Linked DNA regions of Notamacropus eugenii. The protein of the gene in region 3 interacts with the protein of the main gene of each other region in a biochemical or structural test. Links are inferred from orthologs where the notes say so. Each region holds a gene or a part of one and is shown on either strand. Other genes may lie near its edges.

Region 1 (10,187 bases), on a different chromosome or scaffold from region 3:
TTGAGAAATGGGGTACTCTAATCACCATCTTACAGATGAAGCACAGACCCAAGCTATAGAATAAAGTTCAAGAAGTAAGTTTTTAAAAGAAACTATAGAATAAGAAACAAAAATAGGATGTGAACCAAGAAAACAATGGTCAGTTAACTCCTTGGAAAATAAGGGACTAAGAGGGTTCTATATGATCTTAAGTCATTCACAGGCACTCAGTTGCTAATAATGCCTTCCCCCAAATGTATGCGTGCATGTTTCTTCTCAACAGAATACAAATTCCTTGAGGGGTGGAACTACTTTTTTGTCTTTGTATTCTCAGAACATAGCACAACATGGTGCCTGACACATAGAAGGTGCTTAATAAATGCTTGTGGAATGAAAGAAAAATGAAGAAATTGTGGACTAGTTACTTAGTTGTTCTCTATGGTCACGTTTCCAGATCAAATATATGATTCCACTGTTAGCTTATTTCAATCACAGCATTTTAAATTATCCCTGGGTATCAGTATATTTTGGAGGACTCAAGAGATGCTAAGATCCCCTTCCACTCTAGGATTATACAAGCGTCAAGAAATAATTCACTTATGGTTCAAATACCATGCAACAACTATACAGTATGACTACTATCAAAAGCTTCAAAGTCTAACACATTTTATAAATTTTCTATATGAATAATTGATTCCTAGAACCTTAGAAAAACACTGATTTATCCTTGAAAGTTAATCACTAGATGGACTACACCTGCATTAAAGGAATGAACAGCAGTATGGATAATATAAAACAACGCAAATACCTTTAGTTATTCAAGCACTAACTTGAGGGAGTTAAGTAGATATTGTTTCCAAAAAACATTTTTCTTGAACCAATATTAAAATCAGCATTTCCTTTGCACACCAACTGTAGGATCAGAAATGATTAGAAACTCTTCATAGAAAAGTTTAAAAACTGAAGTCACAGAATTACATATTTAGAGGTGTAAGGAATCTGAAAAGATCATCTTTTCTTCTCATTCTACATACAAGGAGACTGCAAGTAAGAGGTCAAATGCCAGCTTTTTCCATATACCAATATACATAAACACTGAAATTTGAAAAGACTTCCAAATGATAATCACTAACTCTTCAGGAAACTATATTAGATGGGATTCAATCACATTGAGACCATAATCTGGGAAATCTGAAGAAAATACTACCAATGAGAAAAATAATTAAGTATGTTGTTATCCATATTCATCCACCAGTTCCAAAGCATTTTGATCAAAGTACAACTTAAGTTTACAGTATGAAAATCAGTTGCCATGCTACAGTGGCTAGGAAATCAACCCTGAAAGAAAAACATTAATAACTTCCCTAACTTTATCAAGTACTCCTTTCAAATAGAAATCTTTGCCCAGCCAAATATTATAGACACTAGATCTATTTTTTTTTTTTTGGACACAAGGGAATATACGAGGAGTTTTGTTACTGGACCCCAAGTTTACAAACTTAGTAATTTTTTGCTAAGGTAAATAAGATTTTGCTCAATGTTTGATAATTTGATTCCAATAATTTGGAAATAAATGAAACTAAATATAAGAAGCAGAAGTGAAAAGTCATGCCCAGAACCCTACCTCAAGAAACTGATAATAGGATTAAAGGGAGCTATCAGTTCCATTTTTTTAAAGTTATAAATCACCAAAGACTAGCAGATTTCCACAAGAGTAAGGAAAAAAAGCAATAGAATTATAGATTTAGAGCTGGAGAGTACCTTAACGGCCATCTAGTACAGCCCTTTCATTTTTCAAGAGGAAAAACTGAGATCCAGAGACATTAACCAATTTGCCTAAGATCACATGGGTATGACTGAGATGCATGAATACAGATAAGGATACCTATCTTCTGATTCCAAATTAAGTGTTCTTACCCCTGGACTGTTCAAACTGCAAAGAGCTGGAAGAAAGCTAATAGAGATCTAGGCTGGCTCCAATTCAGATTAAAAAAAAAAAAAGGAAGTGGTAGAATTGGGACTTGAAACAAGGTCTCCTGAATTCAGGGTTCTTTCTACCACACCAACCTACCTTTCCTGCTAGGGTGGGAATCTGGTTAGTCCCCATCAAGAACATAATGATCTGGGGCAAGCACAAAATTTCTCTGGGTCCTCATTTCCATGGGTGAAAGATGATGCTATTAACTGCTTTCCCTAAATGATACTGTATTGTGACCTCTGAGCACCTTACAGAAATAGACAAATAAGACTTATTTTGATTAAAATATTTAAAGCCAAATGGCTGGGCAACCACTACCACTTATTTTGAGTAGGACCTCCCCCCCCCATTGCCCTTTTCCTTCTTTTTGTTTTTCATTATAAGGCAAATGAAGCCTTATCAATGTTATTCCTCCTAAGAGTAGATGATCCATAAAATGTCTCTTCCAATTCAACTGAATCATAATATTCATTTTATAAATTCACATCCCTGAAGAAGTCACAAAATCAAAAACATAAATTTTTTTCTTCAAAAACTAGAAAACTTGAAGCCATTAGTTTTGTAAAATACACTCATTTCAAGGTATGCCTCCTGGAATATTGATTACTATCTTGATTTTTATCCAAGTTTCATCTATTTACAGGTTCTTTCTTCTCTCCTCCACTGCATAGGTGACTAAAAACTAGTTTCAAAAACTTTTTGAACATGCAGCTAAGTCAAACGGTAATTAACTGAGTATTTGTTTCTAGACTATCTGGTTACTAAAACTTTATCTGCAAATTTCCTCAACTCACGTTAAACCCTTGGCTCTCAAAATGGATACAACTCTATGCTAGATGAACTAGAGATTTTGAACAGCAATGACAAGAATTTATTGTTATTTCCTAAAAACCTGTGTTTTTAACTGTAACTGTTGCATAATCAAAATTCCTATTATTCTACGAATTAAAGATACAATTGAATTAAGACGGGTACTTTAAAATGTGAGGTTACAAAAGCGGGAAAAGTTTCATACATGCAGTTAAATTTTCTAGCCATAAACAATTCCACACTCTGAAAGCACCCCTTTTGTGATAATTCAAGCTCCCTTCACAATGTTTTCAATCAACTGGATGCTATGTCTTATTTATGTTAGTCTCCCGGACCATTTTTCTGCTACACCCTGCATGTCATTAAAATTATTAAAATTAAAATGCATGTCATTTTAATAAGTGTTGGATGCCTTTGAGGAATTAGTTTAATTTTTAAAGAAATTTAAATCTGAAATCCACAACTACTACTCAATTACTAAATTTTAGTCTAAGTTAGTATTAAACTTAATTATATCACAAAGTGAACAATCCACAAAGTGGAGAAGCAGAGAAAAATGCTAGACTTTGCATGTAGAAGATTCCAGAGGTGAAGCCTTTTCCCTTTGTTCTACTCAAACTTCTACTTCCAGCATGGGCATCTGTGACCCATCCCCTACACACCTTTGAGAAATTACCCCCTGAAGACTTAAGATCTACACATCTCACGGAGATTTAAGGAAGGAACACCTACCTTGCCTACAATTTTAAGGTAGTATATTATCTCTGTAAAACTCCACAATAGTCCTTTGGGTCAAACACGTGTAAAATACCTGTTAGGCAGTTAACTCTCCTCCCTGTCAGGAAACTGTCTGGTGCAGACTGCCCCTACTCTCCCTTCGGGATCTCAGTCACGCTGAAGCATGGGGGGGCCAAAAGTAAGTACCCAAGCCCCCCTGGGGGGCAACACCATGTCAGGGTGACACAGGTAACCGGACTAGGTCAAGATGCCACGGGCCCGCCGTGGGGAGGCCTGCACGTGGCCAGCACTACCTGCTCCGGTCCGCAGGCCACATGGGGCCCCCAACTCGTGGTCACCCCCCTCTCCGGGGGCCTCCTGCCCCCAATGCACATGGCCTGCTGCCACGACGGGGCATCCCGGGGGAGCCGGCGGAGGAAAGGCCTCCCCTCCGAGGCACGTTCAGGCAGGAACGGGGTCACTGGAGATGGAGGCCTCGGGGGTGAGCCCGGGGGAACTTCCCGGAGCGAGGGCCCGCAGGATGGGGGAAGGGAACGGATCATTTTGGGAATGGGGCCCCACGGCTTCCCGCGAGGACCCTGAAGGGGGATGTCACGGGAGATTCCTTCCCCCCCGCGGGGGTAGCACCCCCCCCACGCCGCTTGGGCCCCGCAGGGCTGTGGGGAGGGTCGGTTTCCCGCTCCGTCCACGAGCCGCGGCCTCCGCCTCCCGTCCTCTTTTCAGGCTGGCCTCCCCTCAGCGGGCTATCACACTCACATTGTGTACAGGGTAGGGGGGGCGGGCGAACGGGTGGGTTGGGTCTCTCAGGCGGCAAGGACGGCTCCGACTCCCCGCGGGCGGGCGGCTCCGGCTCGGGTGCCTCCTCCTCCTCCGGTCGCGGCCTCTCTTCTGCCTCGCTCTTTCCCCTCCGGCAGCGGCGGCGGAGGCGACGGCGGCGGGCTTGGCCTGGATCCCACAATGCACCGCGCGGCAGACCAGAGAGGTTCGGGGAGAGGAGGAGGAGGAAAGAGTAAGAAGAGGGCGCGAGGAGAGAGAATGAACGTGTGCGTACGAGGGGCGGTAAGGCCAAGCGAGGCAAGGTGGCGGCGGCGGCGGAGGCAGCGACAGAGGAGGAGGCAGTGGCGGCGGCGGCGGCGGCGGCGGCTAGTGACGCAGCAAAATGCCCGGGCCCCTTCGCGCGTGCGCGTTCCTGTGCTTTCGGGCGCGAGCCCGGCTTTCTAGAGATCTCTATGAGAAGGGCGGAGTCTCCCCGTCACTCTCTTTGACCCCGCCCGCTCTGCCCCCCCTCAGTCGCTGTCCCTTCCCGCCTCTCCTCCCGCCCCCCCCTGCAGCCTCTCGTTGGAAAACCGTTGGTGACCCAACCGCCTGGGCTCGCGCTTTCGCGTGGTCTCCCGGGGAAACCTCCCGAGAAACTAGTCGTCTGGCCAAGGCTAGCCGAGAGGCGGCCGGCCCTCAGCCTGCGGGCGGAGATGGTGGCATTTCTGCCCACCCCCGCCCCAGGTTCCCCTCCCCCACCACGGCCCAGCCCGAGGCTGAGAAAAAACTCGGCCGCAGGAGACATGTTTGAGTCGTACCCCTTCCCCCGGCCTGGGCCGACGCTATCCTCGCTCTGAAGGGAGGACAGGCCCCTGGCTGGGGGGAGAGGGGGAGGGGGAGGTGAAAGGCCTTGTCTGGGGGGAGGGGGGAGGGGGGAGGGGAGGTGAAAGGCCTTGTCTGGGGGGAGGGGCGAGACCCCGCGGAATACTGTGGAGTGCGGTAGAATGTAAGCCCCTTAAGGGCAGGCACCATCCCGCCCCTTTGTAGATGGCTCCCGAATTGAATTGAGAGCAAATGGACCCCGGGATTCCTCGGAGACCACATGGCCGCTGACTTTGATAATGTCCGGCCATTGCTTTCACTCCTGGGGGAATACTTGTTCAGAATCTGCCCAAAGCCAGCTCAGGGCTTGGAGGATGGTGGCTGAAATGGCATTCCCGTGAAGAGGCGGTTCTCCAGGGATGACGCTGGTGATCATTTGGGAAAAAAGTTCCAAATCACTAATTAAAATCATTGAAGGGACGTCATCTCACGCCCGTCAGATGGCAAAGAAGAGGAAAGAGGAAAATAGCAGTTGTTGGAAAGGCCATGGGAGAATAGGTACATTCCTTCGCCTCTAGCAGAGTTTTGAATTTTCTCAGTGTTTCTGGAAAAAATGGATAACTTTTTCCCTTAAATTACCAAGCTGTGTATGCCTGTGACCCAGAAATACCGTTAGATTCTTAGACCCTGTGGAAATCAAACCCAAAAAAGAAAGAACCCAGGTGCTCAAGAATACCTAGCAAATAACTGGGAACAAAGCAGGTAAATAAATGTGTGACCATGTTACGTGCGTTCATGTCCTTGAATATGACTTCTCCTTGAGAAATTAGGAATATGATCAATTCAGGGAGCCCCTGAAGACGTATTGATGGATGCAGAGGGAAATGAGGAAAGCCAGGAGAACAGTTTAAGATGACAGTCATTTGAAAGACAAAATTCTAATAAAAGCAGTGACCAGTGATGCCTTCAAAAAACTGATGATGAAACATACCTTCCAGTCGTACCTGGGCAGAGAGGTAAGGAACAGGAGATGCAGAAGGAATTATAACATCTCAGATATGGCCAGTGTGGATTCGTAAAAAAAAGCATTTTTATTGTCACAGCCAACTCTTCGTGACCCCTTTTGGGGGTTTCTTGGCCAGAGATACTGGAGTGGTTTGCCATGTTCTTCTCCAGCTTGTTGCACAGATGAGGAAACTGAAGTAAACAGGGTTAAATGACTTGCCCGAGGTCTCACAGTTAGTAAGTATCTGAGGCCAGATTTGAACTCGGGAAAATGAATCTTCCTGACTCCAGACTTGGCACTCTATCCACTATCTAGCACAGGTAACTTCTTTTTAGTGTTTTGTTTTTTTTTTTTGAAATGTGTATTTAACCCCATTTTCACCCAAGCCTGGGGTGATTTTCCTGAGGGCAGCCCTCTTGGTGTTGCACAGCCTATGTGTAATAAGGTGTAACCCCTAATTGTCTGAGAGACCTCTGAGCTGGAGACACTGAATGTAACATATTAGCTTCAGCTTGTTGGAGCATTTCAGGAGAGAGGTGTGTATTCGTCCTTCCTTGTCAAAGAAGACCATGGCATCAGAGAAATGATGACTTGCACTTGATTTTGTTTTGAGGGAGGGAGGGCTGTGCAGGTCACCAACCTCACTTCTCCTCCAGAGCCATCTGAATCCAGTGACCAGATATTCATCAGGATGACTGGAGATGACCCAGGATGAGACAAATTGGGGTTAAGTGACTTGCCCAAGGTCACACAGCTAGTGAGTGTCAAGTGTCTGAGGTGACATTTGAACTCAGCTCCTCCTGACTACTGCACTGGTGCTCTATCCACTGTACCACCTAGCTGCCCTCCAGAGAGGCAAAGACTCAGGGATGGCTGACTTTTAAATGGTGGACTGGTGATTTATTCAGAGCTACAAACTAGGGGAAGCTGACCCCCATCATATCCCTGACTTCCAATGCTTGCAATCCTAGAGATTGCTAAGAGTAGATTCTTGGGCTGAAGTTTTTATCTTGCTCTCAAGACCGATCCTAATTTGTATAACTTCTCAGGTTTCTATTTACTGGATGATTTTGATGAAGTACTTGCTAGTCTTGATGGCCTTTTATATAATTTATATAATTAGTATTTGAGGAGGAATCTAAATTGGTGTTAGTCAAGGTGTCCCTTTCCCTTGAGATCAATCAGGGAAAATATCTTGTATGCCAAACACCTTCAACTCAAATGCCTAGACTACTCATATTTGATGCATCTAATTCTAGACCTATATCTGGAAATATGAGATTGGCAAAGAGATCATCCTGCCATAAATATCCTACAACCCCTTTTTTGCTAGACTGGTGGTAAAGGCAAAGCCTTTCTCCTACTCTTTAAAAGGAAGAAATTTCAGCCTCCCTCAGTGATAGAGTGGACCAGATTCCATATCAGAGAACCCTCTATGTCAAATGGGCCAGCATATCATTATATTATACAGCTTACCCACACATATTTTACACACAGACAAAAACATAGTACAGAAGGAGGTACAGGAAATACAAACAAAGCAATTTTGTTGATGGCCTTATACTTATTATATAAAATAGGGACAGAAATTAGATCAGTTATTTCATTGAAAGAGGGAACTCCCAGATGAGGAAACTCCTGCCAATGCAGGGAGACACCTACCTCAGCAACTTAATAGTCTTAACAGTGTTGCTTACAACACTGAGGGGTTAAATGACTTGTCCAGGACCAGCAACTATATAAATAAATTCACAATTTAACAATCCTCTTTGTTGTTTGTATATTAAATTGTTTGTTGATGATTAAATTCATGGGAGAAAAAATTGTGTCATTTCCTCCACTTCCCCCATGGATTATTAACCCACTGGATGCATTGAACCTTTATTGTAGCATTTTTCTTATCACAAATTGAATAACTATTTGTCTTGAAGAGCAAAATTTCCTGACATTTAAAATAGGTATATTGACTTTCTTTTTAATGTTAAAAATTATTCCTTGTTGCATTTCCTGCTTGTTGAGCTCAAATCAAATGTCACCTGTACGGCTCTTAATCTGTAAAATCTAGTTTGGGTGAGATACAAAGATAATAAACAATTTCCCTGCCTAAAAGAAGTTTACAGTGTAGAAGGAGAGATGACTAGTACAAGAGGTTTTGCTATTTAATAGTTGTGTGATATTGGACAAGTCATTTTACCCCCTCTAAGCCGACTTCTTGTCACCTGTAAGATGAGGATGTAAGACTAGAAAATCTTTTGATCATGGGCCCTGTTATTTCTGTATCCCAGTGATCCAATACCTATTACACAGTTTAATGGGATATATGTACAGGATATAAATATTTAGTGACTACTTAGTATAAAGCATTGTGCCAGCTACTGGATGAGATATAAAATTTATCTAAGACAGAGTCTCTCCTCTCATGGAGCTAATAGTCTAGTTCAGGGGTGGGGAATCTGTGAAACTTGGACTCAGTCAAAGGGCTGTACTCAAGGACCTAGAGGACCACATGTGGCCGTGGGGCTACAGGTTCGTCACCCCTGGTCTAGTTGAATGTATGGGACATATTCTCAAATATCTATGGTACAGTTTCAACAAATATACATGATAGGAAGGAATTCCTAGTGGTCAAAATAGCATGAGCAGATGCATGGAGGGCAGGATATATTTATGGAACAGTAAATTGTTCAATTGATTCAAGTTAGTGGGATTCAAGTAATGGCCTGGAAAGGAATTAGCCCAAGAGGATTTTGAGTTAGGATTAGCTCTGGAGATCATCTACTCCCACCCCATCATTTTACAGATAAAGATCATGTAAAACATTGAAACTTACATGTAAAGGGCCTTTCCATAACTTATGACTAATGGAAGAAATTCCTAACCAAACAAGGGATATACCAATTAGGAAATGGCTCAATAAATTATGGTATATGAATGTAATGGGATATTATTGTGTTGTAAGAAATGATGAAAGGAATGGATTCAGAAAATAAAGCCTTATAAAAATAACTTGTATGAATGGATTCAGAACAAAATGAGAAGAGCCAGAAAAACAATTTATACAGTTATGTTTCACCATTTCAATGCAAAACAACTTTGAAAGACTTGAGAATTCTTATCAATGCAGTGATTAATCAAGAGTCCAGAAGATTAATGATAAAGCATTTGACTTATCTCTTGACAGAGGTGATGGCCTGTAGGTGCAGAATAAGACATCCATTTTCCAGATACAGCCAATGTGTGGATTTATCTTGCTTCACTGTATTTATTTGCTGTAAGGGAAGGTTTTCACTTGGGGGAGGGGTGGAGTTGAAGATGGGGGAGAATATTAAAAATGCAAAAGAAAAGGAAATCAATGAAACATTTAAAAAATACACAAAGGAGAGTAAAAGGAAATTCAGAAGAGGACACATACAAGCAGAGCAATAAAGGCATTAGCATATTAAATTTAATACATGATTTTAAAAATTCAGTAGATTCATAGTTTCACATACAATTTTCATTTTCTGACCTTTATATGGGGAAAGATTCATGTCTATTGATGATAATAAGCTTTTCTTAATCTATAGAAGAGATAAGTTTAGAAGGGGATATAGACAGGACAATGTTGGTATTAAAACATTAAATTTAATAAATACTTTTAAAATGAAAATTTAAATTAAAAAATCCAAATGATAGAGATTTACAGTTTCATAAATGATTCTGTTCTTTTTATACAGTAATGTTTAGGTTTGTTGATATTGTCAAGTTCACATAAAAAAAGAAAATTGCGAGAACAAGGATAGAAACTATTACAAAAGATAGATAATTTCAATTATATGAAAATATAAAGCTTTTGCAAGAACAAAATAAATGCAATTAGGAAAAGAAAGTAAATTAGAAAAATATTTGCATCAAATATCTTTGAAAAGCATTTGTAATCACAGTGATTGAATGAAAAAACATTTATTAAGTATTTATTTAATATGTGCCAATCACTATGCTGGGGATACAAATAGAAATAGACATTCTCTACTCTCAAGGAGATCGTACTCTTACTGGGGGAAACGACACATTAAAGGAAGTCCTTTCAGAATTAATGGAAAGACCTAGCTGTCTTTC
Region 2 (10,592 bases), on a different chromosome or scaffold from region 3:
TAAACATATAAATATTTCCTTTCTTCAAGCAGTTTATATTCTATTGAGGGAGACAATATGTACATGTTTAAGTTTATGCAAAATATATAAAAAACAAACAAAAGTGCTCTTTGACTCAACAATACTAGAATTCTCCTCAAAGAAAGGGAAAAGGACCAATATGTACAAAATTAATTAAGGTCATTTTTTTTTGTAGTGGCAAACAATTGGAAAACCAAGGGGTTGTCCATCAGCTAGGAAATGGCTGAAGAAAAGATGGTATATGAATGTCATGGAATATTATTGCACCTTAAGAAATAATGAAAGGGATTGTTTCTGAGAAACCTAGGAAGACTTGTTTAAATTGATGCAAAGAGAACAATTTATATAATTATATAATACAATAATAATAATATAATAATTTATATAATAACAATTTATATAATAACAACATCGTAAAGACAAACAACTTTGAAAGATAAGAACTCTGATTAATGCAATGACCAATCACAATTCCAAAAGATCAATTAGGAAGCACACTATCTCCTCCCTGACCCAGGAGGTGATAGACTCAAGATGCAGAATGAGCCATACATTTTTAGACATGATCAAAAGATAACAAATTTGTTACAGACCTATTTGGCAAGTTACATGATTTCCTTTAACTCTGTTCAGTAGCACATGAATAGAAATGAAGGTGTCTGATGGAGGGGTTAGCAGGGGTGGGGAACTTGCAGCCTTGAAGTTACATGTGGCCCTCTAGGTCCCTGGACAAATTCTTTTAAGGGGATCTGTTCTGTGAAATTTCAATTCAGTCAATGAGCCGCACTTGGAGACCTAGAGGGCCACATGCGGTTCCCCACCTCTAGTCTAGATAATCAACAAAACAATAAATTCCTGATCTGTATTTCAGAGATGGAAATGCGCACACTCAAAATTTAATAATTAGTTCTCTGTAAGACCAGGCTCCGTCAAACCCCAGGAGTATCTATAGAAGAAAAATCACAGATTCTCTAGAGATCTAGTGTCATATTAGTGCAACCTACTTCATGGGCTTCCTGTGGAGAAAACACTTTGCAACCCTTGAGTGCTCAATATAACCATGAATTATCATTACTGCATTTATAAAGCCAATAGAGTTGGTTACCACAAAATTCGGTATTTCACTACACAGTCTTATACAGTTCATAACTATTTCCTATCTTTTAAGCACTGTGCTTGGCACATAGCAAATCCTTAATAAATGATCTCTCTAGCTACCTGCCCCTGCTTTCAAGGAATTTGCAATTGGGAAGAAAAACCCAACTTCAACTTCCTTTGTTCCTGCTATCACTATAAGTCCCTCTGTCCCACGCTGACCATGCCAGGCATATGGTTGCTAAATGACAAACTCACTAGAAAGACAGTGTGAATAATCCAATCCATCCAACAAAGATAACACTTTTTGCTGCTTTGCACACTACAAAATCCTTAGCCAACTATCCAAAATCCATAAAAAAAAATTCTTCCAGCGCCAACCTGAAAGCTAAAATAACTATCTGCCAGTAAGGTGTTAGCCCAAGAAAATTTTTGTTCCTGATGCTTATTATGAACAGGGCCAGTCCCATATCAGGGCAAGACCAAGCAAATGTTCTAGGCCCCACCCTGACTATGGAACAAATCCCAGCTTGGTCAGGTCTCCTCTACTATGCTGATGTGTACCCTTTCTCACAGATTTCAACCCAAGTTTTACTTACTTCAGGTTCAGTATTCTATCCATTACTCCATACTGTCTCTCATTGGATGGGTAAGATTGTAGCTTCTTCAGCTATACAATACAGATATTAATACCTGCCTACCAGTCTTACTTAATTGTTGAGCCGAAGATTAATATGTGTAAAAACATCTTACATTTGAATAGTATTTTAACCACATTTCATTGCTTTTCCTTCATTTGGCAGAGCAAGCTGATGATTCATAAAAATGGGAGAATTTCTTCTCAATTCCTTCCTGTAGCAATTATTGCTTTAGTAGAATTCCTGCTGAATTGACTCTAATGAAGGCTGGAATTTCCAAATAGTCTGAGAAAGAATCATATGAAACCCAAACATTTTATACCAGGAACACATGAATTTGTATTCCAATTCAACCTCACAATGATCACTGCTGGAAGGCTCAGCTGTTTCTAGTTGATGCCACCAGAGTCAACTGTTTAGTAACATCAGATCTTCAATACCTCACTTGGGGTTTTCTTGGCAAAGATACTGGAGTGGTTTGCCATTTCCTTCTCCAGCTAATTTTACAAATGAAGAAAATGAAGCAAACAGGGTTAAATGACTTGCCCAGGATCTCACAATTAGTGTGGGAGGTCAGATTTGAATTTGAAAACATAAGCCTTTTTGATTCACAGGCCTGGCACTCTATCTACTACACCACCTCCATTCACACACTGACAAGATGAGAATGGTTTTCTTCTAATATCATATTTACAGTGGGAGCCTTAGCAACTCCTCATTTTGGACAAGTGACCCAACCTCTCTGTGTTTCAATTTCCTCCTGAAAGATGAGTATCATGGAATCAAAGATTTAGAGGTAGAATGGACATATGAGTCCACATTGAATCCAAACCCCATTTTTCAATGAGTCAGCTAGGAACACTATGTGAGACCAAAGTTCACTCAGGTAATAAGCACTAGAGTTTATATTTGAACTCAGTTCTTTTGACTCCAAAACCAATGCCCTTTGCCCTGTAGCTACCTTCCCATAATTGCCCTACCTATCTCACGTAGGATCAAATGAAATAAAAGATGCCTAGGTACAGTAAGTCCAGGTATAGTATAGTATAGTATAGTATAGTATAGTGTAGTATAGTATAGTATAACATAGTATAAAACATTTTTCATTCAGTCAGTCATTTATATCTACAGTGCCTAACAAAGTGCCGGGAATGCAGTAGGCACTTAATAAATGCCCCTTGATGGAGAATCACCACTGCCCTTTAATAGTCAATTTCATCTCCTTCTCTATTCCCCTAGTGCTCCATACAGTGCTAATGGCTGAGAGCCTATTATCAAAAAACATGGTAGAAGTGTTGACCAGCATTGTCCCATAAAAAATAATTTTCAAGAAACCTTGTCAAACCTATTTTGCGTGACTATATTTAATTCTGGAAAAACACTTTGGGACATGCTGCAACTTAAGTTAAAAATATTATAGTCATGCTAGAGCCACTATGTAGCATACAGTACGCTGCAATGGATCAGAAGACCCAAATTTGACTTCTAGCTCTACCGCGGTTCTGGGCTCCTGGAAGAAGCTTCTTAACTTCACCTTCTTCAGCTCTAAAACGGAGACGACATGTGCACTACTTCCCTCACAGGTTTTTTATGAGCAATGTACTGTGTAAGCGTGGATAGTGGCTGTGGTCGTTGTAGGGGTGGCTGTCAGGAAATGAAAAGTTTACAATCCGTGACCAGAGTCAGAAATAACCTGTACCTGACTTCCGAAATGGACTGCAATTACAGTCAGTGTCTTCACCACACTTCTTATTTACGTTATATATGCCTTTTGTTTACATATCAGTGAACACAGTATTCTCTAGCTAGAAGGGAAGCTCCTTGAGGGTAAGATTTGACTGGCTTTTCTTTTTGCTTAGCTAATGCCTCAGTATAGAGCTTTATTCATGGCAGGCACTTAATGTTTTTTTGGTTTCCTTATAAGCCCTTACGCACTAAGGCGCAATCTGGCAAAGGGAAATATTTCTACAAAAGGTGCATTAAATCTTTAAACAAACCAAAGCACTCCCAAACCGCAGCTACAGGAACTGCCAGGAGCATGCAGAGATACTGACACCAGAGCGTGGAAAGATAACTCCCAAGGCCAGGAAAGCCTTCAGACCCAATCTGCCCTGATAAGGCAAACGAGCACTTGGGGCTCCTCCCTTCCTCCCTCCAATCCCCCCTTTCCCTTCTCACCCCCCAAATATTTACCGATGGAGATCTCCTGTGCAAAGGCCAGCGAGATGAGGAGGAGGGGCAGCCCCACGGCGATGCAGGTGACCATCTTATCCACCGCCAGCTCCAGGCGCAAACCCTTGAACTTGGGCTCCGTGGGCTCCTTGAGCAGGAAGTCCGAGAACACGTACTCCGTGGCCAGGTGGGCTATGGCCATGGCGGCAGGGCTGGTCCCCTCGGGGCCGGCCGGGGCAGGCTAGCCTTGGGAAGCCGGGGCAGGACTCCGCATTCCGGAGCTCATGACGCTCCGCCGCGCCTGGGGGACTGGCTGACAGGACCCGTTTCTCACCCAGCCACAGCCTCGGAGCGCCCAGCCCGGCTTTCACTTTCCTTTTGCAAACTCCCCACTCGCATCCCAGCTTCTTTTGTTTCCCGTCTGTGGCTGAGCACGCGCTCCGGGCGGGAGGGCTCAGCAGTCCCGGGCACCGCCGTGGTGGTGCTGGCGGCGGCAGCTGCCTGGGAGCTCTGGGAAGGCTTCAGACCCGGCGATGGGCTGGCTCGAACCCGCGCGCTCCCAGGGCCAGATTCTGGGCCGGGGGCAGGCTCGCGCTCCGCCTAGCACCCGGGGCAGCTCCCGCTCCACTCGGCGCGCAGTGCCCACCTCGCGAACGCGCGCTACTTCTCCCCATGGACCTCTCCGCCCCGGCCCAAGCCCTGGACTGCGCGCGCGCCTCCGACCCCAGGAGCCCGGCTCTCCCTAGGCTACCGAGTGATTTCGCCGGCTGGCGCCCCGCTCATTGGCTCAGCCGAGAGCTCCAGAACAAAGCTAGCCGGAGCTCCTCCCCAGGCGCCTGCCCAAACTGCGCTGTGGGTGCTGCGGCGGGCGAGAGAGGAAGCTCCAGGATGAGAGGTGGCAGCGGGGCTCCCGACCCCAAGCTCTTACAGTGTTCTTTCTGTCCGTTTTACACCCAGCTTTCCTCTCCTGGGCATCATCTGGGAAGGCTACGACAACAAAGGAGGGTGTGGTTGGAATGAATGAGTGGAAGAAACTGAGTTGGGATATGGGGATGTGGGTAAAGAGTAGCGCCTTTCCTCACTTCGGATCATCAGTTGAGACATTTTGTAAACAATGTAACCCCTAGGAAACAGTTGCTTGTGCTTCTCGCTGCAGCCCACCGCAAGTGACTTGTTGAAATTCTGTACCTCCAAGTAAACAGTGCAGAAAGGCCTCACCCTTTGTTGATCGCACAATAGAAATGTTCTGGAAAGAGGTGTCATAGGATTTAGGTTTGGAGGGAACCTTGGATACCAAGAAGCCTGGTTGATTCTACTTTCACGTTTCTCCATTCACATAACCACCATCTTATCACCTCTTACCTGGACTATTGCAAAACCCTTCATATTGGTCTCTTTGCCTCGTCTCTCCCCTTTCCAATCTGTTCCCCAGACAGACTGATTAATCTTGCCTAATACCTGCATTTAACATGAGAGAAATTATTATTAATAACTAATGATTTGGAGAGATCCAGAGTTCCCCCCTTTTCTAAAGTCCTCATTTAGAAAGTTAGTCTCTGATGGACATTTGTGATAATGAAATTGAAATAACTTTCTCCTCAATCTTGTTCAGACCCCACCCAACCTAACAAGAAATTTAATACAAGGTAAGGAAACCTATTGTACTCTCTACAGGTGTGGGTGGGGATAAATTATTCGACAAATTATTTGCCGAAGGAATTGAGAAATAAATGAAATAATCAAAATTATATCTCCCATTCTCTTATTAGAATAGGCCCAGCTCTCTTTGTAATATTCATTCTTTCTCATACTAGTTGTTAACCAATCAGAATTGATAGCCACCCTCAGGAACACCCACTTGGCCAAGGGCACATAAGCTATGAGCCCACCACCCTGATTCATCTTTGGTCCAAGAGAAATAGCCAAAGGATCATTCCTTTTTATAATAAAATGCTAGTATTATTAATAAAATGATTAATTACGCAGAAACTATGTCTCTCAAACTTTTTTAAATGTCACAAACAGATGACGATATTGAGACCCAACACATTGTCCAAGATTTCATCTCTGGTAAGTGATAGTCATGGTATGTAGGGCTTCTGATTCAAAATCCGGTGGTTTACTACAGTCTAAATGAATATTCAACTTTCATATTCTTCACCCAGGCCCAATACCTTTAGGTGGTATCCTGCTCTTTGTGACTCCATTTGGGGTTTTCTTGGCAAAGACACTAGAGTAGTTTGCCATTTCCTTCTCCAGATCACTTTACAAAAGAGGAACTGAGGCACACAGGGGTTAAGTGATATGTCCAGGGTCATGTAGCTAGTGCCTGAGACAAGATTTGAACTCATGAAGAGGAGTCTTTCTGACTCCAGAGCTGGAGCTCTATCCACATCATCATCTAACTGTTCTTAATATTTTTACACACTGGAAAACAGTAAAATAAACATTAAGGTCAGCTATGGTGGGGAAAAGAAGGCAGGAAAGGACAGCCTAAACACGGCGAAGGGGATGTAAAAGGGAATAGGTTTCATCTCCTTAATGAGAAGAGGAAGAAAATGATTACATAGGATGACTATAGGTACATAATTTGTCTTTTTGTTTTTTTGACAAAAAACTAGGGAGCCAAGCCATCTTCTGCCCTAGTTTGCTCATCTTCCCAGCAACCCTTTGCAGAACTCTTCCCCTAAACCAATTATCCTAAATAATAAATAATGGAATTAAAATCAGTGCATGACAGCTTTCATAGTAGCAATGATAAATATTTATCTTGCAAACTGCTAGTAAGTGGAGACCTACAGAGCCATTGTAGAAAACATTCCTTCAAGAATGAGAGGTTGGACTAAATGAGGTGGTGTGGCACAGTGGAAATCATCTTGGCTCTGAGGCTAGAGGAACTTTGGGTTCAAATCCTGCCTCTGATGCTTAATACGGGTGAGTGTGACATTGTAAAGTCATGTAATGTTCCTGGGACTGCCTCAGTTTCCTCAATTATAAAATGAAGGATTAAAAGTGCATGGTCTCTGAGGTCCCTTCTGTCTCTAAATCTACGATCTGTCCATAGAGCTATCTATGAGTCTAAGGAACATACAGTTGTAGTGGGTACCAAGATAATTGTCCCTTTCTTATTTGAGTCACAAGGTGAAATGGTGTTTCCTCAGTGTATACATGTGTAGTGCAAGAATGGTTTCTGGTAGAAACTGGAGAAAGTTAAGAGGAAGAAGAGCTTGGTTAAGAGAGTAGTAACAACCAATGATGTGTTAAAGGATTGTGAACAGATTATCTTGCGCTGAAGAAATGGCACTAGAATGTTGGAGAATTTTATAATTTTCCCTCAACCTGCCCTGAGAAGTCAGGAGACTAGATAGCCTTGCTATGGAACCACGAGGAACAGCAGGAAAAAAGGAGAGAGAAATATAAATCTGGCCCACTCCCATCACCTTCGCCCTTCCAGTAGCAAGACACAGCTCATGGGACAACAACCTTGGTTCCTTACCAAAGAGCTCTCATCATGGGGATTGGGAGTAACTCAGGAGATTTACTCATGTCTTAGGGATTAAAAGTTGTGAATTAAAGGATTTCTATTTCAATTCTTCCTTTTTAATCATTAATCAAGAAGAATTTATGAAGAACTTACTAGCATTTAGAGTCTACTAGAATTAGATACAAATGCAAAGAAAATGATCCTTACACCAAAGGAGCTTACATTCTCAAAGAGTTAGACACAAGGACATATATAAGTATATGCAGAACAAAGAGAATAATTACAAATACACTATTGTTAATTATAACATAGTTTGGGAGGAAGGGAACAAGGAGTTGGGGTGGGGTGGAATCAGGGAAGGCTTTATGTAGAGGGTGGTACTTGATTTATATCTTGAAGAAAGAGAGAAATTTTATGAGATGAATGTGAAGAGGAAGTACATTTCAGGTCTGGGGGGATGGCCAGTAAAAAGGCAATGAATGAATGAAATAGAAAGCATTTATTAAGCGCTTACTGTGTGCCAAGCACTGGACTAAGTACTGGAGATACAAGTAGAAAAACTAAGGCAGTCTTCAGTCCTCCTTCTCACATTAACCTGTTCTAATTGGGGGAGACTATATAAAAAAAAAAGTCTGACTCAGGACATACAGAAAAGCCTAAATGTCCTAAGGGGGCAGCAACTGCAGTATGGCAAGGCCTTAGGAGTAGGTAGGATGATCTGCAGGCTGTAGAGATAGAATAGAAATTAAAGCCTGGAGGACCTTAGGATACAGGACAGATAGTAAGGCTTAGTGATCTTCCATCTCATGAGGAAGAATAGTGTTGGTGATGTCTATCTCATTCAGATTATTGTGGCAGTGAAACAGCCTGGATGGGTTCTGAGTGGAGAAGAAGGTGAAAGGGAGAATGATCTATCCTCAGTATACTGAGTGGTACCATGCACACATCACCTTATACATTTCCTGGATTGTGAGGATAGTGATAAAATCCACCCAAAGTACACATAGTTTCCCTCTATAATAAAAGAGCTTCTGACACAAGAATTGTACCCAAGATGATAGCTTTTAAAGATTTTAAATCACAGAGAAAGTAATAACCTGTAATGACCTGTGTTCCTAGAAGTAGTTTCCTCCTCTAGAAGATCCCTATACCAAAAAAATGTAGAAAATTTAAAAATTCAAATAAAAAAAATCACAGGCACATCTGCTATCCCCTATTACCTACCTCACCAGCTTATTTTAAGCAAATGTTTTGCAAACCTTAAAGAGGAAAATTCTTGAGCAATTCTATCGATAAAGCCACTCACAACTCAGAATGTAGAAAGTTTTCCATATTTCAGCCAGCCAATAAGTATTTATTAAGCACAACTGTGCTAGGCACGGATGATAGATACAAAGAAAGACAAAAGACCATCTCTGCTCTCCAGGAGCTCCTGGGCTAAAAGGGGGGACAACGAGGAAACAACTATGTGCAAAAAAAGGTATAAGTAGGAAAAACTGGGGGTCATCTCAGAGGGAAGGCACAGAATTAAGGAGATTGAGAAAGACTTCCTGCAGAAAATGGAATTTTAGCTGGGACTCATAGCTAGGAAAGGAAGGAGGCATGAAGGAAGGTGTCATTGCTAAAATGTTCGATCATTTAGGTTGAAATCTCCCTCCCTCCAAATGTCACCCATTGCTCCTAGTTCTGCCCTTTGTCTATTATGACATTTTTAAAGTAGTAAGTCATTGTCGGGGAATTTGTCATAGCCTCTTTATATTCACTCATGACTCTTTCCAGTGGCCTATGGATTATTTGCAATTTTGATTCTTTCAAGATTGTGGTATTTCACATGGCATTTCTTCAAATATTTGAAGATAACTATCCTTTCCTTTCCTCCTTTAAACCTTGTGATTTTCAAAATAAACATTCCCCAATTTCTTGAATTTTCTGATAAGGCGGCATTTCCAGAATTTCAATATGCTGAATGCTCTCCTATTCGCACAATCACCCTTCTTAAAGTTTAACATCCAGAAATGGACATTGATGAAGCCTGAGGATTGCAGAAGACAATAGGACAACTCGCCCCCTAGTCTGCATACTGTTTTTCTATGGAGGTAGTTTAAAATTGCAAGGCTACCTCATGTTGTGTTATCAATACCTTAAGCCCCTAAGTTTTTCTATCCTTGTTCTCAAATCAACTCTCCCTCCTCTTTATTATTGGTTGGTGGTTGGTGGGATGATTATCATCCTTTGTTCTAGAAAAGTATCAAAATGGCATCATTATGTTAAGGGTCAAGATATTATATGTTTGACTGTGGCTGATCTGAGCAATACAAGCTCAAAATGCTTTACCGCAGGTTCTGTACAAATAGTCTATATGAACATTTGGAGAGGAGATGTCTCTAAATTTGTGCATCTCATGTTTCCTTTGAGATACCATAATTCTTCTTTGCTTGTAGAGCACAGCACCTTCTTTGATGTGGACACTCTATACTGGGCAGTCCTGTGCTAGTGTCTTCCATGTCTCACAATTGATTCCAGAGTTCTTCAGAGACACCTTGAGTGTCCTTTTATTTCTTCTTCTGACTTCCATGTAATCACTTGCCTTATGTGAGTTCTCCATAAAATAATCTTTTAGGCAATCATATGCTTGGCATTTGAACAGTGTGACCAGAACACTGGAGTTGTGCTCTCTGCAACAGAGTCCGAATGTTTGACAGTTTGGCTTCCTTATCTTACCAGGTGATCTTCAGAATCTTTCTAAAACAGCTCAAATGGACACAATTCAGTTTCCTGGCATGACACTGGTATACTGTCCAGGTTTTACAGGCATACAACATTGAGGTCAGCACAATAGCTCTTCAGCTTAGTAAGCAGAACAATATCTTTTCACTCCCACACTTTCTTTTGGAGCTCCCCAAACAGTGAGCTAATTCTGGCAATGTGTATATCAGCCTCATCATCTGTGTGCATCATTAGAAAGTATGCTGCCAAGTTAAGTGACCTTATCTATAGCATTCAAAATTTCTCCATTTGTTGTAACCAATGGTTCCACATATAGATGGTGAAATGCTGGTTGGTGGAGAACCTCTGTCTTCTTGGTGTTAATTGTTAGGCCAAAACTAACACAAGCACAAAGAATCAATCCATCTCAGTTTCAGAGGGTGCATTGAACGCAATTATCTGTGAACAAAAAGCCC
Region 3 (10,740 bases):
GTTTCTAGATAAGAAAGCTGATGGTCAAAGAAATTAAAAGCCTTATCCAATATCACATGATTCTCTCTTTAGAAACCATATTTGAACTCAGGTCCTTTGGTTCCCTAGCTAGTTAGTACTCACAAAGTAATAAAATACTGTACTTGACTCAAAGGGCTTCCATGTTAGCTGATTAAAAATTCAATAGTTTTGTAGAAAGTAGAAGAAAAATAATTCTGGTGACCATTTCTATTTTTATTATTCAGTCATTTTCAGTCATGTCTGACTCTTTGTGACCCCATTTGGGGTTTTCTTGGCAAAGATACTAGAGTGGTTTGCCATTTCCTTCTCCAGCTCATTTTACAGATGGGGAAACTGAGGCAAACAGGTAAAGTGACTTGACCAAGATCACATAGCTAGTAAATGTCTGAGGCTAGATTTGAACTCAGGAAGATGAGTCTTCCTGACTCCAAGCCACTATGGCACCATCTAGCTACTTTTTCTGTCTCTACCCAATGAGATCTATTGTAGCTGGCTTTACCAGTATGTATGCTTCATGAAAACAAGGATCTCCTGTTATTATATACCTCAGAGGTTTGTTGGAAGTAAGGAAAATATGTTTTCATCAGTGAAAATACGTAAATAAAGGCTATTGTTATTATTTCAAAAAATAACAGAATTACAGCTGGAACCTTAGAGGTCACCCAGAGAAACCCCTTCATTTTATAGAGGAGGAATCTGAGGCCCAGAGAAGTGATGAGGCTTTCCCAAGGTTGGACAGGTAGACTTGAGTCTCTCTGCATACTGTATTACCCGGCATACCTCCTCCATGGTGCTCTGAATGTTTTGTGTTTAATAAATGTCTGCTGAACTGGATTCAAATTCATCTAGGAAACCATCATCTGGTTGATGCTTAGGCACATGGGGTTAAAAAAAAAAATCAATTTTCCTATCCTTAATGAGAGCAAGGGAATTTCTGAACAGGCTCCATGTCCAAGAATGCAGGTTCAAGAAGTCCCGTGGTTTTAAAGAATAAACTTAAGGGTAAATACACAAACAAAATATATCTGGGTTTGCCACAGGAAGGAAAAGGAAGTCAAAGCTTGGTAAGACTCCTTTTCTACAACAACTGAACAGATGGCCTCCACTATCCAGAAAGGAGGGGAGCAGACTGCTCCTCCTGACTCAACCGACACCAGGCTCCTCCATTCCTAATGCCGAGTTTGGCTTCCTTGGGAGGTGCTCATGATGAATTCATGCTCAATAAAAGGAGGGGTCCAGGTCACGTGCACCTGACTAAGGGGTCTTTACAAGCTTCCATGGAACTCTTGGTGTCTGACTCACCAAGACAAGCCCCACATTCTGGAAGGAGCTTCCTTGTGGCAGGAGGGCTCTTAAATTTGCAATGCCAAGAAATTCCCGGATCCTCGGGCGGAATAGTCTACTGGAAGTTAGTGAAAGAAAAAGTCAGAAGAGATTACAGCTGCCTCTTTATTAGGGGAGTGGCTGAGCCTGAGTTCCCTCAGCTACAAAAAGGTAGCAGTTTTTGCCCTATCTACCTCACTGGGTGATTTCAGGGCTCAAATAAGTTAATGTAACACAAAAATACTTTGTATATATGAATTAGCAATTAATTTTAGGGAATAACTGGTGTTTAATCAATAAGTTAAAAGGGGATTTTGGAGACAAGACCTGGGATTAAGTCATGGCTCTATGAATTACTGGCTGGGTGACTCTGGGCATGTGCCTTCACTTCCAAGTCTCAGTTTCCCCTTCTGTAGAATAAAGATACTTGCCCTAATTACTTCACACAGTTGTCATGAGGAAAGTACTAGAATGATGATTTTGCTATATAAAGATAAGTTATTACTGTTTAGATTAGACAAGCTACAATACTTCTAAGCTTTATGATTTCATCTGTGTGGGACTCCACCTATACATATTTCAGTCTCATCTTATTTCCAACTCCACCTGGCTTCGCACCTTGCAACAGCCAAAAAGATATCCTGGGAAAGGAGAACCTTCTTACATAAGCTTTCCTGAATATGGTGCCTATGAACAGAAACAAAGCTATCACTAGAACCCATGCCTAAAGCCTGCCTACCGTGAAAGAATATACCATACCACTCCAGTATCTTTGCCAAGAAAACCCCCATGGACAGTATTAAAATGCTAAAAGATACAATAGCAGGATGGAGTCACAAAGAGTCGGATACCACTGAACAACAAATATATGTGCATATACACCTACATATATACTGTATTTACTTATACATGCAGAGGAAACATGGTACAGTGGAGTAGGCCTCACAAATAGGAAGACCTACATTTTAAGTCCTGCTCTTGATCCACACAGGCTGTGTGACCACAGGGAAAGGATTTAACTTCTCATGCCCTGAGCTAATTTCTAAGACTGTAAATTTCAGAGAAGATGCCAGCCTGCATTGGTAGAGACTCCTTAGAGGGGAATTCTCTGTACAGTAATATCACTGGTCTAGTACCCTACATTCCAGTTGTCCAACCCCCTTGTCCATACCAGTCAGGTAAGTTTCTTGAAGGGTAGCGGTAGGGGGCTATTTTTTTTTTTTTGGTAGTCTCTGTATCCACAGCACATACCTCTGTGCTTGGCCTAATACAAAGCAGATGCTTAACAAATGTTCCTTTGTTGATTGTTTAAGGTCAAAGTACTATAGATTTAGTTATAAGGGATCTCAGAGGTCATGGAGTCCAACCTCCTCATTTTACAGATGGAGAACTGAGGCCCAAGGAGTGGGCCCAGTGACTTGGCCAAAGTCACACTTGAATTACATGATAGACTGTTGTAAGTTGTTTTTCAGTCGCATCTGATTCTTTGTGACCCCATTTGGGATTTTCTTGGGACAGATACTGCAGTGACTTGCCATTTCCTTCTCCAGCTCATTTTACAGATGAGGAAACTGAGGCAAATAGGGTCAAGTGACTTGCCCAGGGTCATACTGCTAGTAAGTGTCTCAGGCCAAATTTGAACTCAAGTCTTCTAAACTCCAGGCTCAGCACTCTATCTAGCTGCCCCTCCCTGGGTAGAGCCAGGATTCCCACCCAGGTCCTTCAACTCCAAATCCAAAATTCTTTCCATGTCTAAAATTCAGCTCTAATAATCCTATGGTCCTCTGAGTCTCAGTTTTCTTATCTGTCATACAGTGAAACTAAATCATTTGTAAAGGCTGAGTGTAAGGAGCTCTATTACATATTGTTTGGGTGAATTTAGGAGAGTCAATTCCATGATGGGCCTGAATTTCTTCATTTGTAAAAAATAAGCAGGCTGGTCTCCCCAGATGCCCAAGCTACTTCCCAGTTCTGAATCTTTATCCTATGATCTCTCATGTTCTTTCTGTTTCAAGTTTCTAAGATCTCTTCCTGTCCTGACTAGGTAAGTCGACTATCAGTTAGAATTCTGCTCTGACACTATCTGCATGGCCAATCACTGTAATCTTTGTTACAGTTCATGTTCCTCTTCTGTAAAGTGGGGATAATAATGGCACCTACCACCCAGGACTGTGGTGAGGCTCAAATGAAAGGTTTGTAAAACATTCTGCAAACCTTCAAAGAGCTCTGTGAATATCTACTATCTATTATTATATGTAAAAGGATAAGAATATCACCCATCTCCCAGGGTTATAGTGAGGCTCTAATTAACATATGTAAAGCGCTTTGCAAGCCTTAAAATACGGCCATAAAGGCTAGCTATGATTATATATACTATGAAACTTAGCAAAAGTGTATCAAGATGTATCTCCGTGAAAGAAAGCCTTCCCTGGTAGGGATACAGTGTCAATTTCATCCCAGCCCATACCCTCCAGGAGGTTACAAAAATGCCACCGTCACCAACAGGGACTAACTCCATCAGACAGCCAAAGGCCAGGCAGTCCCAGGAAAGCCGCGGAAGGCTATCGTGGAGAAAAGGGGGGGTGCTACGTTAGAAGCGGGGCTGGGGACAGAGGCCCGGTGGCCCCAGGATTGGGAGGTCAGCGAGGCAGGGCAGGCTGCCAGGCGGGAAGCCCATACAGTAGAGAAAAGAGACAGTGTGGGGGGAGGGAGGGAGGGCTGCTGGGGTTACCGTGAGCACCGGGGATCCTGGAGCGGGTGGAGGGAGACGCTGCAAACACACGGCTCTGCGGCGCCAGCCGGGCCGGGCTACACGCTGCGGGCTGGGCTACACACTGCGGGCTACGCTGCGGGCCGGGCTACACGCTGCGGGCCGGGCTACACACTCACTGGGGGCTGGGTTACACTGCGCTCAGGGCGCCGAGACGAGAAAGAGCAGAGGGGCGGAGCCTAGGCCGGCCTGGAGGCGGACCCGGCTCCCCCGGGGCCCAAAGGGACCTTGGAAGGGCGGAGCGAGCACTGCCCCGGAGACCGCCCACATCCCGTGGGCGGGGAGGGACCGGCCCGGCCCGCTACCGAGATGTTCCGGGTTCTGGGCCCCGGCCGCCTGGAGATGTCTTTGCGTTGGACTTAGCCAGGTTTTCTTCCCTGCCTCGTTCAATTCCTGGAAGAGGCGAGGCTCCCCGGCTCGCTCCTGGATTTCCCACGTTAGGAGTCCAAAGTCTGGTGCTCCTTGACTTTGAAAGACTGTTAAGAACTGGATCCCCAGTCCTCCTGGCTGCGGCTTTTAGTTCCTAATCCAGCTTCTATTTCCCGCCCCCCATCCCCCAAGCCAGCAACTCCATCCAGTACCTGTTTATTTTTTAAAATTATTTGATTTGTTTTCAGTTTTCTCCAATCATCTCTTAGTTTTATCTTAGTTTATATCTTAGTTTTTCCCTCTCCCTTCCCCTCCTTCCCCCTCCCTCTCTACTTCCTCGCAAAGACAAGAGGGCGTGCAGTCTTATATAGGTTCTAGACATAGATTTTTATTAAATGCATTTTTACCTTAGTCATGTTGCACAGAAGAACGAAAATGAATGGGAGACACCATAAAAAACACAACACAAGAGAAAATGGTCCACTTCGTTTTGGGATCCAATTCCATAGTTCTTTCTCTGAATGTGGAAGGCATTTTGCTTCAAGGGTCCCTTGGGAATTTTTTAGGTCCTTGCTTTGCTGTGAAGGACTAAGTCTATCAGAAAAATTCCTCACACACTGTGGTTGTTGCTGCGTACAAAGTTCTCCTGGTTCTGCTCCTTTCATTCAGCATCAGTTCACATAAGTCCTTCCAGGCCTCTCTGAAGTCTTCCTACTCCTCATTTCTTATAGCACAATAGTATTCCATTATATTCATATACCACAACTTGTTCAGCCATTCTCCAGTTGATGGGCATCTCCTTGATTTCCAGTTTTCCAGTACCTGTTTAAAAATGAAGGAGACCCCTACTTAGCCCTCCAGGGGCGTGGAACCTTAGAAAAACTTAGAATAAGTTTTAGAATATGAGAAAGTGCAAAAAATCGAGGACTTTAAATTCAGGAAAAGAAAGCTCTAATTAACTGGAGGGATCCTGGAAAGATTGGAGGAAGACCTCTCTAAAGACAGTTTGTCAACAAGCATCTCTTAAGAGCTCACTATATACCTGGTACTGTATTAAGTGCAGGGAGCTGGAGGAAGACAAAACTCTGTCCCAAGAAACTTAGATTCTAATGGGGAAGAAACAGTGGGGAAAAAAAAGATAGGGGACATAAACAGATCAAAGGGATTTGTATCTTGGAGAAAATCAAGCTTAATCTCCTCATTTTAAAGACAAACTGGCCCAGACAGGATGGGACTCATTCAGAGTGGTGCTGGCAGTACCCCTTCTCTCTTGATGAATTCTGTGCTTTTTGTACCTGAATTGACAGCAGAGATGAGAGTGAGGAAGGCCATTGCCTTCATGAAAGACCATGTGATCACTAGCATAGAGGGTGGAAAGGCAGGTGAGATAGAGTGGTGAAAGATGCAATTTGGCTTAACTGGAGTATAAGAAGTTGAGATACAAAGTTGCAAAAGTAACTTGGAGGAAGATTGTGGAAGACCTTAAAAACCAGGCTAAAAAGGCATTGCTCGTCCTTTCTTTGTCCTCTCTGCCTGGTCAAAATAGTCGGTCTAATACAAGCATTTACTTTGAGATGTAATTGATGGATAACAGAACTCCTAGGAGTATTTACATTTTTATTGGGGGGAGGGGTGCTCCTCATCCAGAGACCCCTTATTCCCCATAATATGACAGCTCTTCTCCTTGTCCCATAAGGTTCGTATACACTCCCTTTTCTATCAGCAACTGGTGCTCAGACCTTTCTACCCTAATCTGACAGCATTCTAGGCAATGGGCTATTTTTCAACCATTGCCATATTCCACATGTCTTCCCACCTTTACTCCTACAAAAGGGCCTGGAGAAAAAAGTCAAGAAGATTGGGGGTCACCTCTGCCAATTCTTGGGGTTGGATACATGAAATCTCATATTTGCTTGTTAAATATTCATTCAACATCCATTTATTTTGCATCTGTTGTGTATAATGCACATATGTAGCACAAGGCCACAGACTCCATCTTGATTTAATTAAGAGTTGATGGATTCTGATATGCAGTGTCCCAAAGTCTTAGGTCAGTTTTACATGGTGTTGTGGAAAGAGTGCTAAACTTAAGAGTCTGGATCTGCACTCTAAATCTGTCTCTACTACTTACTAAAACTATGTGACTGTGGGTAAGTTATTGGCTCTCTCTGGGTCTCCGTGTCCTGAGCTGTACATTTTGGGGCTGGGATGGTTGAAAATTATGGCTCCTCAGGTTCTAGATTGTCCTAAAGGCCTACTCCTTCAGGAGCATGCTAAGAGACAGCTCAAATTGACTCCCACTGATTGTCAAATCCAAACGCACTTTTCAATCCTCATTCTCTTTGGCATCTTTGCAGCCCTTGACACTTTTGATGACTCCTCCTTGATAGTCTTTTCTTTCTAGGTGTTTGGGACTCTCTCCTGGTTTTCCTTCCATCTATTTGATCATTCCTTCTCTGTCTCTTTTGCTGGATCCTCCTCCAGAGCATGCCCTCTAACTGTAGTTATCCCTCTGCATTCCATCCTGAGTTCTTTTCTCCCTCTAAACTAGTTATCATCTCCCATAGATTTAATTACCATCTCTTTGCTGCTGATTTGAAGGTCTGCCTATCCTGCCCAAAATTCTCTGCTGACTTCCTGTCTTGAATCTCCAACTGCTTTCCTGACATCTCCAATTCGATGTCCAGTTGGCATCTTAAATTCAACGTGTCCAAAACAGAATTTATTATCTTTCCTTTTAAACCCTCCCTTCCTTCCTTATTACTGTAGAGGGTAACATCATCCTCCCAATTCTGCAGGCTCACAATTATCCTGAACTTCTCACTATCTCTCACCCCTACATCTAATCTGTTGCTAGGGCCTACTGATTTCACCTTTGTAACATCTCCTGAACACGTTTTTAAAAAATCAGGTTGAATAATATAAAGGTACAACAGAATGAAGCTATACCATGATCCCAACTTCCTGAATCTACTTCCCCAAGCTAATAGTTGTCAGTTAAAAAATTTCACCAGTCTCTTTCCATTCTCATTCCAACCACCACTTTTATCCATGTACACATTACTCCTCTCACAGACTTCCCTTCCAAACAGCTCTCAGTGACACAACAAAACATATTGGCTGGAAGCTGGGGTGACCTTGGACTTGGACTTGTCACTTCAACTTTATAGTCTCCTCATCTGTAAAATGAGAGAGTTGAACTGAAAGGTCTCTACCATCTCTGAGCTTTCCAGATCTAAAATTCCATGATGTATGATCTAGAAAGAATTAGAGTGAAAAGACCTCTGAATTGAAAAAAACCTATCAAGAAATCTCTAACTATTAAACATTTGCTCAGGACTCTCTGTGCAACTCCATCCTTCCCAACAGATCCTTGAAAAAGCTAACAGATTGAGGGATAGGGTCCTTCCAATAAGAAGGCTAAGAGCCCATCAGATACAACTCCAGCCATCCACGGACAGTCATTTTGTATGCGACTGGTCTCTGCTTTACTATGTACACTCCTACCTGGAACACTGTATCAACACCCTCTTCTGATACTAATAGAAGGATGAGAAGAATCCCTACTGAACTTCTTAAGTTCTAGAAGTTAAAGGTCACTTTTAGTAGTTGGTGTGGTGGGAAATATATTGAGTATTAGTAGAGTAAGTCATGTTCATAGTTGACTGAATGGCAGGATCCAAAGAGTGTTTATCAATGGTTCCATACCAGTCAGCAAAAATTGTTCTCATTGCCATGCTACTTGTCTCTAATGCTTGTTTCTGTTTTATTTGATATTTTTTGTTAAAGATTTGGATGAAGATCTAGAAGGTATGCTTGTCAAATGCATAGTCAATGAAAACCTGAGATGGACTGATAAATGACAGAATTAAGATTAAAATTGATTTTGATAGGCTTAAAAGAGAGACCCAAATTAATGAAGATAAAGTTTATAAGTTCAAAGTTTAGATTCAAAACATCAATACAAATGCAAGATGGAGAAAATCTGGCAATGATATAGGTATTTTGGTTGAATGGAAGTTTAGTATGAACTAACAGTGTGATGTGGTTACTAAAAAAAAGCCCAAAATATCCTAATTAAATCTTAGAATTCATTAATTAACATTATTTTTTTAAAGGTAATATTTCCACTCTTTTCTGTTTTGGTTAGACTGCATCTATAGTGTTGTTTTTAGTTCAGGGTACTCCAGTTTAAAGGGGGCATTGACAAAGAGCGTATATAAACAAAGGTGACTAAAATAAAAAAGAATCTATAAATCTTAGTATATAAAAATGTTTGAATAAATTGAGAAGCTTACCTTGAAAAGAGAAGTCTTGGTGGTGATGGTGGTGCAGGGGAACCAAGTATGTGAAATGTAAATTGTGGCTACACATTGATTAGAGAGATGCAAATCAAAACAACTCTGAGGTACCACATCACACCTATCAGACTGGCTAACATGACCAAACAGGAAGCTGATAAATGTTGAATAAGATGTGGGAGAGTTGGAACACTTATTCATTGTTGGTGGAGCTGTGAACTGATCCAACCATTCTGGAGAGTAATTTGGAATTATGCCCAATGGGCTACAAAAATGTGCATATCCTGTGACCCAGCAATATCTCTTCTAGGACTGTATCCCAAAGAGATCATAAAAATGGGAAAGGGTACCACATGTACAAAAAAATTTATAGCAGCTCTCTTTGTGGTGACCAAGAACTGGAAATTGAGGGGATACCCTTCAACTGAGGAATGGCTGAACAAGTTGTGGTATACGAATATAATGGAATACTATTGTGCTATAAGAAATGATGAACAGGAAGACTTCAGAGAGGCTTGGAAGGACTTATATGAACTGATGCTGACCAAAGGAGCAGAACAAGGAGAACTTTGTGCACAGCAACAACTACAGTGTGTGGGGAATTTTTATGGTAGACTTAGCCCTTCACAGCAATGCAAGGACCTAAAAAATTTCCAGTGGACTCTTGAGGCAAAATGCCTTCCACATTCAGAGAAAGAGCTATGGAATTGGATTGCAGAATGAAGCAGACCACTTTTTCTTGTGTTATGTTTTGTTTTGTTTTATGGTTTCTCCCATTCATTTTAATTCTTCTATGCAACATGATAAAGGTGAAAATGTATTTAATAAGAATGCAAACCTACATAAGATTGCATGCCATCTCATCTTTGGGAGAAAGTGGAGAGGGAGAGGAGGAGGGGAAGGAAGGGGGGAAAATCTAAGATATATGGAAGTGATTGTAGAAAACTGAAAACAAATTAATTAATTAAAAAAATTGTGGCTAAACAAACTAATAAGTAATCATTTGTAGGAACAAAGAAACTAGAATCTTAAAGGAAATCATAAAAATAAAAAGTAGGAATAAAGGGGAAATAGCATTTACATACCTCAAACTATAATATTAAACAATAATTATCAAGCCTATTTTATTTTGAAAAATACATCAATGGAATGAACTAGATAAGGAAGAATTAGAAGTAATTGAACTCAGTGAGCCAGTGTTCAATCAAATGAAAAATATAAATTACTTGGTACTAAATTACTTCCTATTTGATAGGACTTATTGGAAAACTGAAAGCATTTCAGCACAAGTTAGGTTTAGATCAACGTCTTAGGTGATATAAGCTCAAAATGGATTCATGCTTAAATATGAAAACTCACACCATAAAAAATAAAAACTAGAAAAGAACCAGGTCATGTACCTTTTGTTTCTATAACTAGAGAGAGAATTCTTAACCAGATAAGGGTGATCATAACCAGTTAAGTTTCAGTTACATGAAAGTGAAAAGCTTTTGCATAAACAAAATCGATGCAACCAAGTTGATAAAGGAAGTGGTTGATAAGCAAAGAAAAAAAATCTTTGTGTCAAATATTTCTGATAAAGCTGTGACTGAAGATATATTGGAAACTGACTGAAATATACAACAACAAAAACCCATCAAAGGATATGAACAAATGGTTCTCATAAGAAACTGTAAGTTATTGACAACCATATTGAAGGCTATTGCAAATCAGGGGTGCATTTGAGAGAAATGCAAAGCAACTTTGAGGTTCTTCATCTCACACCTGGAAAATTGGCAGAGATGACAAAAGATGGAAATAGTCAGTGTTGAGGAAGAGAGTGTGGAAAATTGCTAGTACACTAGTAAAAAAAATTGACATGTTGGAGCTGGGAACTGGTCCAACTGTTCTGCAAAACAATTTGAAATTATGCTAAGAAATTGACTAAAATATCCATAGCTTTTCACTTACAGATCC

Evidence for each region.
Region 1: of the proteins of CASP7 (region 3) and PTGES3, one has a biochemical effect on the other in vitro, tested with the Homo sapiens proteins (2 studies listed by BioGRID and IntAct). The link is inferred for Notamacropus eugenii from reciprocal best matches to the Homo sapiens genes CASP7 and PTGES3.
Region 2: of the proteins of CASP7 (region 3) and PANX1, one has a biochemical effect on the other in vitro, tested with the Homo sapiens proteins (2 studies listed by IntAct). The link is inferred for Notamacropus eugenii from reciprocal best matches to the Homo sapiens genes CASP7 and PANX1.

What each region holds. Positions count from the first base shown.
Region 1 is NC_092874.1:231,925,052-231,935,238, forward strand, and holds the start of PTGES3 (prostaglandin E synthase 3), read right to left. Parts: upstream 4,705-10,187; 5' UTR 4,264-4,704; coding exon 4,262-4,263; intron 1-4,261. UniProt on the Homo sapiens protein: Cytosolic prostaglandin synthase that catalyzes the oxidoreduction of prostaglandin endoperoxide H2 (PGH2) to prostaglandin E2 (PGE2).
Region 2 is NC_092876.1:164,528,404-164,538,995, forward strand, and holds the start of PANX1 (pannexin-1), read right to left. Parts: upstream 4,948-10,592; 5' UTR 4,129-4,947; coding exon 3,948-4,128; intron 1-3,947. UniProt on the Homo sapiens protein: Ion channel involved in a variety of physiological functions such as blood pressure regulation, apoptotic cell clearance and oogenesis.
Region 3 is NC_092872.1:192,053,673-192,064,412, reverse strand, and holds the start of CASP7 (caspase-7), read right to left. Parts: upstream 4,598-10,740; 5' UTR 4,076-4,597; intron 1-4,075. UniProt on the Homo sapiens protein: Thiol protease involved in different programmed cell death processes, such as apoptosis, pyroptosis or granzyme-mediated programmed cell death, by proteolytically cleaving target proteins.